Saccharomyces cerevisiae S288C: one gene and its partners. The protein of the gene in region 3 binds, or shares a complex with, the protein of the main gene of each other region. Each region holds a gene or a part of one and is shown on either strand. Other genes may lie near its edges.

The links.
Region 1: MRPL38 (region 3) and MRPL27 share a complex: the UniProt entries of both Saccharomyces cerevisiae proteins name them as parts of the mitochondrial large ribosomal subunit.
Region 2: MRPL38 (region 3) and MRPL10 share a complex: the UniProt entries of both Saccharomyces cerevisiae proteins name them as parts of the mitochondrial large ribosomal subunit.
Region 4: MRPL38 (region 3) and MRPL13 share a complex: the UniProt entries of both Saccharomyces cerevisiae proteins name them as parts of the mitochondrial large ribosomal subunit.

Annotation. Positions count from the first base shown.
Region 1 is NC_001134.8:766,244-769,180, forward strand, and holds MRPL27 (mitochondrial 54S ribosomal protein mL41 MRPL27), read left to right. Parts: upstream 1-1,996; coding exon 1,997-2,437; downstream 2,438-2,937. Other genes in the region: glutamine amidotransferase subunit DUG2, read right to left, coding at 1-1,363; SSH1 (Ssh1p), read right to left, coding at 2,700-2,937. UniProt on the Saccharomyces cerevisiae protein: Component of the mitochondrial ribosome (mitoribosome), a dedicated translation machinery responsible for the synthesis of mitochondrial genome-encoded proteins, including at least some of the essential transmembrane subunits of the mitochondrial respiratory chain.
Region 2 is NC_001146.8:102,195-106,313, reverse strand, and holds MRPL10 (mitochondrial 54S ribosomal protein uL15m MRPL10), read left to right. Parts: upstream 1-2,211; coding exon 2,212-3,180; downstream 3,181-4,119. Other genes in the region: WSC2 (Wsc2p), read left to right, coding at 1-1,130; YNL284C-A (gag protein), read left to right, coding at 4,082-4,119. UniProt on the Saccharomyces cerevisiae protein: Component of the mitochondrial ribosome (mitoribosome), a dedicated translation machinery responsible for the synthesis of mitochondrial genome-encoded proteins, including at least some of the essential transmembrane subunits of the mitochondrial respiratory chain.
Region 3 is NC_001143.9:128,489-132,026, forward strand, and holds MRPL38 (mitochondrial 54S ribosomal protein uL14m MRPL38), read left to right. Parts: upstream 1-2,145; coding exon 2,146-2,562; downstream 2,563-3,538. Other genes in the region: protein kinase NNK1, read left to right, coding at 1-1,773; putative serine/threonine protein kinase KKQ8, read right to left, coding at 2,800-3,538. UniProt on the Saccharomyces cerevisiae protein: Component of the mitochondrial ribosome (mitoribosome), a dedicated translation machinery responsible for the synthesis of mitochondrial genome-encoded proteins, including at least some of the essential transmembrane subunits of the mitochondrial respiratory chain.
Region 4 is NC_001143.9:449,454-453,486, forward strand, and holds MRPL13 (mitochondrial 54S ribosomal protein mL50 MRPL13), read right to left. Parts: upstream 1,765-4,033; coding exon 970-1,764; downstream 1-969. Other genes in the region: YKR005C (uncharacterized protein), read right to left, coding at 1-498, 568-714; MEH1 (Meh1p), read left to right, coding at 1,981-2,535; RSC4 (Rsc4p), read left to right, coding at 2,748-4,033. UniProt on the Saccharomyces cerevisiae protein: Component of the mitochondrial ribosome (mitoribosome), a dedicated translation machinery responsible for the synthesis of mitochondrial genome-encoded proteins, including at least some of the essential transmembrane subunits of the mitochondrial respiratory chain.

The DNA of each region.
Region 1 (2,937 bases), on a different chromosome or scaffold from region 3:
CTTTGCTTTGAGACACTGTCTGGAAAGAAATAAGTTCTCTCAGTGTGTTTAACATCTCCTCGTTATTTAGAGAGGCAGATTGATAGGCGGCCCATAAATTGGTGGTTTGTAATGTAGATGATGCATTGATGGGTGAGTTGCTTGACAGAGGCACCGCAGATAATAATGAGGTTATATCCCAGAGAGTCAATGACCCATCGCTACCACCCGTTAATAAACTAACAGATCCAGCATTTGATTTACTGAAAATCTCTGAGCTTAATATTTTTCCTTGTTGAGGGTTCCAATGGTTAACTTGGTTCTGGTAAAAATGCGTGATGCCTGATTCATCAATGGCAAATACATGGTCCATATAAACTGATATTGAAATGACGTCCGATTCATGCTTTGTTTTCAGAGTTGAGATTATTTGCTGAGTATTTAAGTCCCAGATTTTTATAATCCCGTCAGTCAACCCGCAATATAAAAATGGGAACTCAATAGTTTGGGATATGACGCTATCTTCATTGTCGATTTTATCGTTTATCAAGGAGATTTTAACAGTGTTTTGCCCTTTATCTTTAGAGAACTCCCAAAGCTTGCTTATTCCATCACCAGCGGATGAAATTATGTGCTCTGCACCAGAAGTTCGTGAGCTTTTTTCCAATAACTGATTAAACCTGGGACACAATTTATTAATAGAATAAATAAACCCATAATGTGCATATTTAATAATGTTTTCGGAGGGAACCTCTATGATGGCAGCGCCACAGTTTTCTTGTAGAGAGGTCAATGAAGTTTGAGATAATGAATTTGAACTATATCCAGTCGGACCTAACGAATCAAAGAACTTATCATATCTTCTATGCGGTAATTTATTGATATTTTCTACTCCATCAGAGGATTTTTTTTCAATCTTCTGAATCAAGTTCTCAACATATAGTAAGCTTGCATTTTGACAGCCAAAGACAATAGTTTCCAACGAATCCAAATATGCCAATGAGAAAATATCACCAATATCGGTCACTGAGTAAACAGTGGCTATTTCAGTAACAGGTAGAAAGTCATCTCTAATGGTCTTTTCGCCAATGGACCAAATTCTCACCAAAGAATCTGCGCCGCCTGAAAATAAAAAGTTTTCATCTTCTGATCCTGTCAAGCACAAAACCGAAGATCTGGTATGCGTTTCCTCTTGTGATTCGCCTAGTCTAATCGTATGTATTAGATTATATGTGGGAAGATCAAAAACCAATATCTTGGAGTCTTGGCTACCAGCAAACAACAATCTTTTTTTTGGAAATGCAACAATGGATAAGATGGAAAAAGCGTGATTCCACCTATGAATTAGTTCAGAGTGCAATGCGACACCCCTGCTATCGTACATGATTTCACAATTACTTCTGCCCTCGTTTTTCACTTTTCCTTACAGGGTTGTTCGGTTTCTCGAAATAGTTTTTCACTTAAATAATTCAGTTACACACATTTTATTGATATTGGTGCCACAGCTTTTCGCGGCGCACAATGCGATTATCACTCAAGTTTATGGTAAAGTCGGTATTCCCTCTCATGAGAAAAAAAAAAAAAGATACCATCTTCATTGAACTTCTAATTGCAGCAGTAATTGTGAGCAATGCTCAAGAGCTTCCTTACCATATAACAAAACATCGAAATCAGAGGATCATTCTAGATCAAAGTGAAATGCCCTTAACTATGAAAAGGAATACGAAAATAGCTGTGAAGTGTTATTATAATTATTAACAAGGTTAGTAATCTTTAAACAGAGCCTAATACTTGCGGGAAGGACTTTCAATGTTGCTTCACTGCAGCTTGTTGGCGGCTATTTGATGATGATTTTCTTGAGATACATAATTATTATTATCACGTTTCACGGATTATTTTTGAAAAGCTAGAATTAATACAAAAGATAGGACTATTGAAGTAGTATACACCAATTTTTGCTTAAAAAAACTACGGGAATCAAAGATTACCTTGAAAGTGAGGACAGCAAATAACTAAAATGAAAGGCTCACCCATTTCTCAATTTAGTAAGACCTCTATTAATGCTCTTACCAGGCCTTGGAAGAAATACAGAGATGGTGAATTATTTTATGGGTTATCAAAAGTTGGGAATAAAAGAGTGCCGTTGACCACGAAGCAAGGTAACAAGACGATGTACAAAGGGACAAGAGCTTCAGGGATTGGTAGACATACAAAATTCGGTGGTTATGTGATAAACTGGAAGAAAGTCAGAACCTATGTTACCCCAGATATGGTTAATTTCGAATTAAAGCCCTACGTTAACGCAAATGTACCACCTCTAAAACACGAATTTAAAGGATTTAGCGGCGGCCCATTAGATCCTCGTTTACAGTTATTAAAGATAAAAGAATACATAGTAAACGGGAGGGTACAAAGCGAAGGGGCCACCGACACTTCATGTTATAAGGAGCGTGGATAAGTTATTTATAATCTTTCTTCAATATGCGTGTAAATACTAGTTTTCGACTTTATAGGTAGATAAAAAATAAAACTTAAGATTGTAAAACAAAATCAAATAAAACATGGCTTAGACATTGCACCATATGTCATCTTTCTTTGAGTTAAATATAGATACATATAAATCTAAAAGAAGAGCAAAAAGTTCGTACGTATATAAATGCGCGTAGCAGAGAGAATTTGATCTTCTTTTTTGTTTTCCTTCTTTTTTTTCTTTTCTTTGTTTACATAGCACCTGGAACACCCAAGACTTGATTCAAAGCACTTTGACCGCCACTTTGTTGGTATTCAATGGTAATGACTTCTAGCAAAGAAAACCCACCAGCAATGCCAACAACTATACCAGCAGCTTTACCTTTCAAACCCAAAGATTCACCGATAACGGTGATCAAACTTAAGACGGATGCACCCGTAACAGCTGCGATTGGAATGACTTTGTTCAATTCTTTAGCGACATTCTGT
Region 2 (4,119 bases), on a different chromosome or scaffold from region 3:
CTACTGCTACCTCAACATCGACAACATCTTCATCAAGCACAAGTGTTAGTTCAAAAACGTCCACGAAATTGGACACGAAAACTTCAACTAGTTCTTCTGCTACGCACTCATCCTCTTCCTCGTCTACAACCTCCACTACCACTTCCTCTTCAGAGACAACTACTTCCTCCTCTTCTTCATCCTCTTCCTCTTCTACGTCTACTACTTCTACTACTTCTACTACCTCTAGTACTACTTCTACTTCTTCTTCTCCTTCCACCACTTCCTCTAGCACTTCTGCCTCTTCCAGTTCAGAAACGTCCTCTACGCAGGCAACTTCTTCATCCACCACATCGACCTCATCCTCAACTTCGACAGCAACGGTCACTTCTACCCCCTCATCGACTTCAATAGGTACTTCCACGCATTACACTACCCGTGTGGTGACGCAGTCCGTGGTTTCTCAAGCTAACCAACAAGCAAGCACGATCTTTACCACCAGGACCTCTGTTTATGCAACAGTATCGTCTACGTCCTCCTCTACTAGTTCTCTCTTAAACGGGAAATCGAGCTCGTCCAAGAGCAAAGGCTTGAGTGGTGGCGCCATCGCAGGTGTCGTAGTAGGTGTGGTTTGTGGTACAGTTGCCTTGTTGGCTCTGGCGTTATTCTTTTTCGTATGGAAAAAACGTCGCCAATCTTCTCAGCATGTGGACTTGGAAGAGACAAAGCAGTACCAGCCGTACTCACTGGGTGATGCTGACGCTAACCCTGTTATTCCACCGTCTGCTTCGAGCACTAACTGGCACATACCCTCTAGGAATAATACAGCATTGTCCAAGAATACAGCGTCTACTTTTGCCACTTATGATCTGCCGACAAGGGCGCCGGGCGGCAGAGATTCTATTATTACTGGTGATGCACATAATATCAGCAAAAGAAGTCACTTTCCCTCGGTAGTGTACGAGGAGCCTCCTTCGATCTATAACGGGAACCAAAGGTTCAGTGCTACTTCGCTGCCCGATATGATGGAAGAAAGACAACTACACATTGTCAACCCCGATAATGTGAGTTCAAATATTGGGAGTAATGTCTCAGATGGTGATGATGATTACGATGATGCAAAGGATTCCAATAATAGTTCTTTGCGCTGACTAGGTTTAGATACCAACACTACATATTCATATCAAAGACTTATTCATCCTTTCATATTTCTTTCCTTCATTTTCCCTTTGTATGTATAATATTATTAAAGCCGACGATTATTGCACGAAAGAAAAAAAATATAGATAAAGTGAACAGTACCGACCATATCAATATTGATTTATCATGTTAAAAAGTTAAGTATATGTATAGTTTATCAAAATGAATGTACACATTTTCTATTCTTCACAAATCTGAGGCAATGGGGTCTGTCTCAAATCACCATCAGGCATGTTTACCGTAGAATAAAAATAATATGCTTCCAATCGGATTTGAACCGATGATCTCCACATTACTAGTGTGGCGCCTTACCAACTTGGCCATAGAAGCTCAGAACTTGAGAAAACCGGATATACAAGTGCTACTTAACAAAATGAGTATGGAAATCCTAATCTTCTTACTTTAGTTAGTATAAGAATCTGTGTATATTTGGTGAATAATTTGATGATTGTTGGGATTCCATTGTTAATAAATACTATACTAGAAGTTCTCCTCGAGGACATATGATGTCGTTAGGACGTGATAAAAACCATTTCGTCCTTGGGAGATCACGGATGCATCGAGAAGTTTCCTAGCCAGTCATTGGGTTATTGTGCCGAAATTAACTTTAATCAATCAGAAGAGAGAAACCAAATGGCGTCCCCCAATTATTCACACTTCTGCAAAACAACTTAATTACTTTTCGTTTTTCACAAAACAAACGCAGCTCATATTTTGGGTAGGGCATTCCAAGTATCCATTTTATTGTGCGTTCATTGGTCTCGGTGAACGTAGGACAATATGAGTTCCGATTATACCAAATACCGTAGCAAACTCCTGATTGCAATTAAACAGTATATTTTGCGTATTCTGCGTCGCAAGCAATGTTAGATAAGGTACCTTTATGTACTATACAAAGCTACTATTCACAGCTACTATCTTTATATCCGTTTTTCTATTTGGCAATCGTATAGTTTTCTTACCCGGCTGAAACTCCAGGTAACTGCACTAAACGCAGTGCGTAAAATTAAAGCTCATGACCTTTAGAAGTTGATGAAAGCGGAAAGGCAAACAGGATTAAGAAATAGTTTTACAACCGTAATCGGTCGCAAACTAATAAACACTTTTGTTCCGTCCATGATGTTAACTAGCGTAGCTGGTAACGATATTTTTTTCCGAGGTTTATTCAAATCGCCGGTATTAGCATTTCAAAGTTATCGTTATGTTTCGATTTTGGGACAATTGAAACCGTCAGATGGTTCTACAAAGTCTTTCAAAAGACTTGGGCGTGGTCCTTCCAGCGGTTTAGGTAAGACATCAGGGCGTGGTCAAAAGGGTCAAAAGGCGCGTGGTAAAGTAAAATCGTGGTTTGAAGGTGGTCAAACTCCAATTTACAAGCTATTTCCTAAAATTGGATTTACCAACGTTGGCGCCAAACCATTAAAGGAATTAAACTTGAAACGCATTCAATGGTTTCATGATAAAAATAGGCTTCATTTGCAACCAGGCGAGGTTTTAGACATGAATAAGATGAGAAAGCTTGGTCTGGTAACTGGTCCCATAAAGTACGGAGTTAAAATTCTAGCCAGCGGAAAGTTCCACTACAATCTACCGATTGCTTTGGAGGCTTCTAGAGCATCCGCTAAGGCTATTGCGGCTATTGAAAAAGCAGGAGGTAAGTTTACAGCTCGTTACTACACACCGTTGGGTCTAAGGGCACATCTCAACCCCCAGTGGTTTCTTGAGAAGAGGGGAAGAGTACCACTACAGGCTAGACCCACGAAAAGAAGGGATATTGATTTCTATAGTAAAGAAGAGAAAAGAGGTTACCTAGTAATGGAAAAAGATAAACTCTTACAAGATATCAAAGAAGCTCAAAATAAGGGTTCTAGACACTTTTTAAAACAGAATGTAAAAAAGAGCTCATTAGAAATAGAGCTAGAAGAACTGTCTCCAGAGAAGGATTGGGTGCCAGTTGTGTCTAATTCTAAAGTCATGAACATCAAGGCTTTGGACCACTAAAAAATTGTTAACCGTTTTATATATAAGTAATATTCTCACTTGTACATACCTTAAGATATTGTCTTGTTAATGATTCATTTGGTGTCCGAAATTATTCTATTTTTCAGTCAATTTATGACCAACTATCGAATAAGGTCCTGATTTTCAGAAATTTTTAACTTTTATTTTCTTTTTTGTGAATATACTTTAAGCAAACTCAAACATATTAAAAGATTGCATCTTGCTTTTTCGGGAGAAGTAAAGCAGTTAAAGGAAAAGAGAAAAACTACATTCTTCTTTTAAGCATTATTATAACAGGGTGAAATGGTTATTTAGTAAATAAGCACAAATACAAAAAAAATAAACGACCCCAGTGAGGGTTGAACTCACGATCTTGCGATTAACAGTCGCACGCCTTAACCAACTTGGCCATGGAGTCTTATAATATATGATTTGTTGTATCTCAAAATGAGGTACGTCAGTATGACGATTCCTTATCCTAAACGTTCCTAAAACACATATGTGTGGGAAATGGGTGAATTTTGAGAATTGGGCGAATTTTGAGAGAATTGTTTGGATAGACGATAGTGGATTTTTATTCCAACATGATCAACTAATAGATCTTTAACACTGTTGGAATAAAAATCCACTATCGTCTATCAACTAATAGTTATATTATCAATATATTATCATATACGGTGTTAAGATGATGACATAAGTTATGAGAAGCTGTCATCGAGGTTAGAGGAAGCTGAAGTGCAAGGATTGATAATGTAATAGGATAATGAAACATATAAAACGGAATGAGGAATAATCGTAATATTAGTATGTAGAAATATAGATTCCATTTTGAGGATTCCTATATCCTCGAGGAGAACTTCTAGTATATTCTGTATACCTAATATTATAGCCTTTATCAACAATGGAATCCCAACAATTATCTCAACATTCACCCATTTC
Region 3 (3,538 bases):
TACAAGGCCATGATGTCCCTAGTTAAGAAGTTTATGTTAACATCTTCTAGAAGTAACTTTTCTCTCGCTGGGTTTGCCAATAATGCTTCAGTTTCGCAGGCCACGGCTAATGATGATAACATCAATAGTAGGAACACGCCCAATAATAGCAATGACACCTACGTAAATACGCGTCCACTTCAAAGATCTAGGCACGGTTCCATTGCATCCCAATTTTTAAGTTCTTTTTCACCTTCGATGACGTCAATAGCTAAAATGAATTCGAACCCATTGAGTGGAAGCGCAGGTGGCAGTGCGAGACCAGACGATAAGGGTATGGAAATACTAGGTCATCGGTTGGGTAAAATCATAGGTTTCGGCGCATGGGGGATCATACGGGAATGCTTTGATATTGAAACTGGTGTTGGTAGAGTGATAAAAATTGTGAAGTTCAAAGGACACCAAAATATCAAGAAACATGTGCTGAGAGAAGTAGCCATATGGAGGACTTTGAAGCATAACAGAATACTCCCCCTTTTAGATTGGAAGCTTGATGACAACTATGCAATGTATTGTTTAACGGAAAGAATTAACGATGGTACCTTATACGACTTGGTAATATCTTGGGACGAATTCAAACGTTCGAAGATACCATTTGCAGAGAGATGCAGATTGACCATTTTTTTAAGCTTACAACTATTATCTGCATTAAAGTACATGCATTCCAAAACGATTGTTCATGGTGACATCAAATTAGAAAACTGTCTGTTACAAAAAGAAGGTAAAAAATCGGATTGGAAGGTTTTCCTATGCGATTTTGGAATGAGTTGCCACTTCGATGAGAAGCATGTTTATCGTAACGATACTTTTGATGAAAACTTGAGTAGTGGCAACAGCCATAGAAAGAGAAAAAGTATTGAACAAACTAATTTGATAAAGTATCCCACAACCAATTTTTTACCTGACGACCGAACTAATGATTTTGACGCTAGTGAAAACTTAAAATACCAATTTGAAAATCGAAAGCATCAACCGTTTACACCAAAAGGAATGGTTAGCTCCAGTTCACATTCATTAAAGCATCTCAATCAACCATCCTCTTCTTCTTCTTCTAATCTATTTCACAAGCCAGCCTCTCAACCTCAACCACAGCATCGGAGTCCCTTTCATGGGAGGCACAAGACAACCGATTTTTCAAACCTGGAACCCGAACCTTCTAAATATATCGGATCTCTGCCTTACGCTTCGCCAGAACTTCTAAGATACTCAGATGCAAGACGTTCAAAATCAGTTGAAATGCATATTTATGATTCACCAGACTCCTCTCAATCGGAAATTAGCGCAGCATCATCATCTTCCTCTAATTTATCTTCTCTATCATCCTCTACAAAGGCGTCCGCAGTCACGAATTCCGGTGTAACTACAAGTTCACCGTCTGGTTCATCGACTGATTTTCCATGTATTGTTTCTCCTTTAGGACCAGCATCCGATATTTGGGCCTTGGGAGTAATGCTATATACAATGTTAGTAGGAAAATTACCCTTTAATCATGAGTTCGAACCTAGGTTACGCTCTCTGATTAAAGTAGGCGAATTTGACCGATTTTCTTTAGCTCAGGTCTGTAAATTTGACAGGAAAAAAAATGAAGGAACGATTGGTCAAGGCTTGTATGACACAGTCATTGGATGTTTGACGATTGACTTGGATAAGAGGTGGAAATTGAAAAGGATTGAAGAAGTCCTTCAAAACGAAATGAACCTAAGCGAGGCCATTCACGATAATAATGGCTCATGACTTATGATTAATGATATTGATTGCATTGAAAAAATACATACATTGTGCTTACTTTTTTTTCTCCCATTTTATAAATTATAACGAACTTCATAATTACTATTACGAAATATGTAAATAAGTATTTTTATCGCATATTTGATGCCTCTATCACTTATTTGGCGCTATTCATTGCGACTCGTGCAACGTGCGAAAACTCAGAATATTTTTTTGAACAGCCTTAAATCATGTTGCTAAATGACGGATGGAAGAAAAGGGACCTATAGAAGAGTTCGGATAAATTGTGAAGCGTGGATATTGGCATAGCGGATTTGTAGAACGGTGTGTCGTCAACCCTTTGAGATCTGGATAAGCCATATTTTCTAACATCACAACATGATATTTCTAAAATCTGTCATCAAGGTAATCGACAATTCAGGTGCACAATTAGCAGAATGTATTAAAGTAATAAGGAAAGGGTCCCCCAAGAGTCCTGCAATGGTTGGAGACAGAATAGTCTGTGTTATACAGAAAGCAAAGCCCTTGACTCAAAACATTACGGGGACAGCCAACACCAACCGTGTCAAAAAAGGTGATATTTGTCACGCAATTGTCGTAAGGTCTAAACAGCGTAACATGTGCAGAAAGGATGGCTCCACCGTTGCATTCGGAGATACTGCTTGCGTTTTGATTAATAAAAATACCGGTGAACCTCTGGGGACAAGAATTATGGCTAATGATGGTTGTGTAGATAGAACACTGAAAGACAAGGGATACAATAAGATATGCTCTTTGGCAAGTAGGGTCATATAAGAATAAAAGTACCCCCATTTTCCATTCATTAACGTTATAATCAAGGGACTGTAAACCAGCAAAAGAGCTTTGTCGTCATTATTTAATTAACCACCTGTATATATTGCTTAAATTTTAATGTATGACTTTAACTTTGAAAACGCATGAACGTGCTGCTGACGTTCTACTCATTGGAGTTGTATTCTTTTTCTTGTCTTATTCTATAATTGCATGCCGTGAATATTGTATACAAGATATTTATGTGGAATCATATATTAGGCAGCAATTCGTACTTTTCATCCACTGCATATCTAAAAGTTTGCCAACAGAAATCCTTTTTCTTGGTTCCCATTGAAAGATGCGATATAATGCGATTTTTCTATTTGTGGCCAACTCTGAGTTTACGTGCTTTAATTCTTCGAATACCCTAAACTGGTTTTTACGCTGCATTTCCTTGTAAAATTCATCATAAGACATATCTTTTTCTCTCGAAGCTACTTTCCAAAGATAATGCCCCAATATCATTGTTATATAAACAACGCCACAACTCCAACAGTCAATCAGTCTTGGATCGTAATACTCCCCATCAACAAACTCTTCTGGAGCTACGTAAGGCTCTGATCCAATTATACCCTTTTGAGCATGAACCCTCCTTTCCCAAGCGGTTTGAAATACAGAACTTGTACCGAAGTCACATATTTTCAATAGACCATGCGGATAAAAGAGAATATTTTCAGGTTTTAAATCACAATGAGCGATACCATGATCATGCATGAACTTAACACCATGAAGCAGTTGCTTCATGAAACAATCGGCTTCTAACGGATGTAATCGGCCCTTTAATTTCGACTTACCGACCAGCATACCATAAAGGTCACCAGCAGGGCAAAATTCCATTACTTCAATAAACGAAGAACTGTCTTCTAGAATATCAAATACGTTTAGAATATTGGGGGCTGGTTTTTTACCATTTTTGTGGTAGTGGCTCAAGGAATGC
Region 4 (4,033 bases), 320 kb from region 3:
ACCAGTAGCTGGAGACAGAGTTTTACCACTTATCGTTCTTTCGCGCAAATATTGAACTTCATTATTAGCGTCAACCACTTCGAACATGTCAACTGATGATATAGTCTTTTGATTATTGGTTAAAGAGGTTAATAGTGCAGAAATTAATTGGTTTTTTTCGAACTGCAAAGGGTTCCTAAAAAGAGTATTGTTTTGACCAACGAAATAAGACAATTTTCTACTAGAAAATTTGTTGCCTCTAGGTTTCAAAATCTCTCCGTCATCTAAAACTCCATTTGTCAATTGAAATTGTTCAACAACGATCTGCAACTTGTCATACTCATCTTTGGAGGTACAGTAATCGTGAAAGCAGCTATTATTAAGGGAACTCAAGGCACACTGTAAACATTTGCAGTTATCCAAGTCCTCCATTGTTTCATTATTCACAGTAACGCATGACCGACAAAATGCATATTGTTCATCAAAATAACGGGACACGCATTCACTTAAATTTCGTTTCTTCACATGGATCTTGTCAGTAATAAAATCTAGAGAATATTAGTACCTCGGTAAATTTGTTGTACATACGCAACTGGAGAGGAAGGGGGAAATCAGTTGTGAATTGTAACCTGGACATAAGTTAGGATCTGCCACAGTTTTGCTTTGAACCGCTGCGAGAACGCTCCCACCACCACCGGCAAAGAGAACCAGCAGAGCGCTTAGACATTCCAACATTATCAGTATATCTCGTGTGTTCCTGCCTCTTGATGATTTTAGCTAGCTGTAATGTGTAACGAATTATTCCCTTACTGCTTCTTGAGTTAGCCGCCAAAGAGGAAATATAGCCACAAAAAGAACTTACAGAAAAGATAAGGTAAAAAAAAAAAGTGATCTATAATGGGAAAGAAAAATCCAAACTTCTTCAAAGAGTATATATATGTACAGGATATTAAAATGTAATGATAGTAGTAATAATAGTATTAACATAAGCTAAGCGGATCTTGCTGTTTCCAAAGCTTTTCTTGTTGCATCATCCTCTAACTTTTGAATTTCTTTCATAATAGTATCATATTTACTTTTTTGCTCTTTAGAAGTAACATCGTTAACAACATATATGTTTGGTGACGCGTAATTATCAGAAAATGGGTGGATAGCATTTGGCTCAGCTTCTTTATAAGCGAGTTTAGGATCGTTGGCAGATGGCAAAATTTTTTCCTTAATATACCTTTTAAACTGCAAGGGTGTGCTTAAAGTGGTCAGTTCATAATCAGGAATTAGATAGCCAGATTTAGATTGCAAAAATTTGGTGAACTGAAATTTAGCTACCAAATCAGAGAATTGGACGTCCTGGTCTACTTTGCCCAATGTTTTTTCCGTTGCCTGCAATATCATATCATCTAACTGATTATCAGACGTAATCTTATCCCTGGATAACCACTGATTGAATGGCGCAGAGGAGACCGCAAGCTTCAACTCCTTCTGTCTCTTACACCGTCTAGACCCTTCGCCAATAAAATTTTCTGGTATTAGCTCCAATCTGTTTTTGTTATTGGAAGAGGATTGAGAGGAAGCCTCGTTAGTGCCTTCTTCAATATCCTTTATCAACTGTTTGGTGTCCTTGACAGGCTCTTGGTGCTCTTCTTGCTTCTTCCTCTTGAACCATGACATAAAGTCCCCGTTTGCAGCGGAACTGTGAATACATCTGGCTTTCTGCTTGTAGCCAGAGAGCCAGACCGACCTTTGCGGCAATGGTCTAATACAATGTAATTTAAGCAGTGACGACATCCTCATACTATGTCCGCCTTTCCGTCTACCCATTATTCACTTCAGGACTGATGATCAGGCATGCAGTTAATTTGACAGAAGTCGTTGTTTCACTATAAATTTGTCAGCTACCCGCCTCACCAGCAGCGATAAAGAACGAAGAATAAAAGAGAGCATTCACAGAGTACGAATCCAGTATAGCGGTAGTGGATACAACGACAGATTTAAGTCGTAAAAATGGGAGCCGTACTCAGCTGTTGTAGAAACCATTCCGGCGAAGAGAATGAAGCTTTGCTGAGGGAACAGCAGGCAGGCTATGGAAGTCAAGGAAACGCAAATGACGAATACGATGCCGAACAAATGCGGTTGAAGGAACACGAACACGAACAGAAACTGCTGGCCAGGGAACAAGAGTTAAGAGACATTGTTGCAAACACCAACGATAAACTAATAGACATATCGATGATAAACAATAGTGGCATTGTAATTCAAGGGACAGACCTGCAAGAAGCTCTTGATAAAAGACAACAGGAAGAAGGTGGAGATTCCCGGGAAGACGAAAGGAGTGCAGGTGATGACAACCTCAGTGGGCACTCAGTGCCTTCAAGCGGATCCGCACAGGCAACTACTCACCAAACTGCACCAAGGACTAATACGTTTACTCTGCTTACATCACCGGATTCAGCGAAAATATCAAAGGAACAGTTAAAGAAGTTGCACTCTAATATACTAAATGAAATTTTCAGCCAGTCCCAGGTAAACAAACCAGGCCCCTTGACGGTTCCCTTTTAATGAACTTTTTGTATAACATCATTGGTATACAAGCTTTATAAATAAATGTTAAATAGTTAATGAAATAAAAAATCACATTTGACGAATTCGGAAGACAAGTAGCCCAAGAAAAAAAACAACAAAAGCATGCTAGAGGATGATGTTTAAAACGACCCTCAGCCTGTTATTACAATAGAGAGCAAACCAAAGAATAATAGATAAAGTACACAGATATGGTAGTTAAGAAGCGTAAGTTGGCAACTGAGGCCGGTGGCAGTGATGAAAGGCCTAAATACTTGCCGGGAAAACATCCTAAAAACCAAGAGAAAACTCCGCATGTGGATTATAACGCCCCATTAAACCCTAAATCTGAACTTTTTCTAGATGACTGGCATATACCTAAATTTAATCGATTTATTAGTTTCACTTTGGATGTTCTTATCGACAAATACAAAGATATTTTCAAAGATTTCATCAAACTACCAAGTAGGAAGTTTCATCCACAGTATTATTACAAGATCCAGCAGCCAATGTCTATTAATGAAATCAAGTCAAGAGATTATGAATACGAAGATGGTCCAAGTAATTTTCTTTTGGATGTTGAGCTACTGACAAAGAATTGTCAAGCTTACAATGAATATGACAGTTTGATTGTAAAAAACTCCATGCAAGTAGTAATGTTGATTGAATTTGAAGTATTGAAGGCAAAAAATTTGAAAAGAAATTACTTAATTAACAGCGAGGTCAAAGCCAAATTACTGCACTATCTTAATAAGCTAGTTGACGCCACGGAAAAGAAAATCAACCAGGCTCTGCTGGGTGCGTCATCTCCTAAAAACTTAGACGACAAAGTCAAGCTAAGTGAACCGTTTATGGAATTAGTCGATAAAGATGAACTTCCTGAATATTATGAAATAGTGCATAGCCCCATGGCTTTATCGATCGTAAAGCAGAACCTCGAAATTGGTCAGTATTCCAAGATATATGATTTCATCATTGATATGCTTTTAGTTTTTCAGAATGCTCATATATTCAATGATCCAAGCGCTTTGATTTACAAAGACGCAACAACTTTAACAAATTATTTTAACTACTTAATACAAAAGGAATTCTTCCCAGAGTTACAGGATTTAAATGAACGTGGCGAAATTAATTTAGAATTTGACAAATTCGAATTCGAAAACTACTTAGCTATTGGTGGTGGTGGTCCAGCCGCAGCAGGTGCGTTAGCTATATCTGCTCTTGATAATGATATTGAGCCAGAATCTAACCGTGAAGATCTTATTGATCAAGCAGATTATGATTTCAATCATTTCGAAGGTCTCGGCAATGGTTATAATCGTTCTCTCCTAACTGAAGATTATTTACTGAACCCAAACAACTTCAAAAAGTTAATAGCCAAACCGGAAACAGTGCAATCCGAAGTCAAAAATGAAAGATCAACGACATCTGATATTGAGAAGACAAACTCCTTAGAGAGCGAACATTTAAAAATCCCCAAATACAATGTTATAAAATC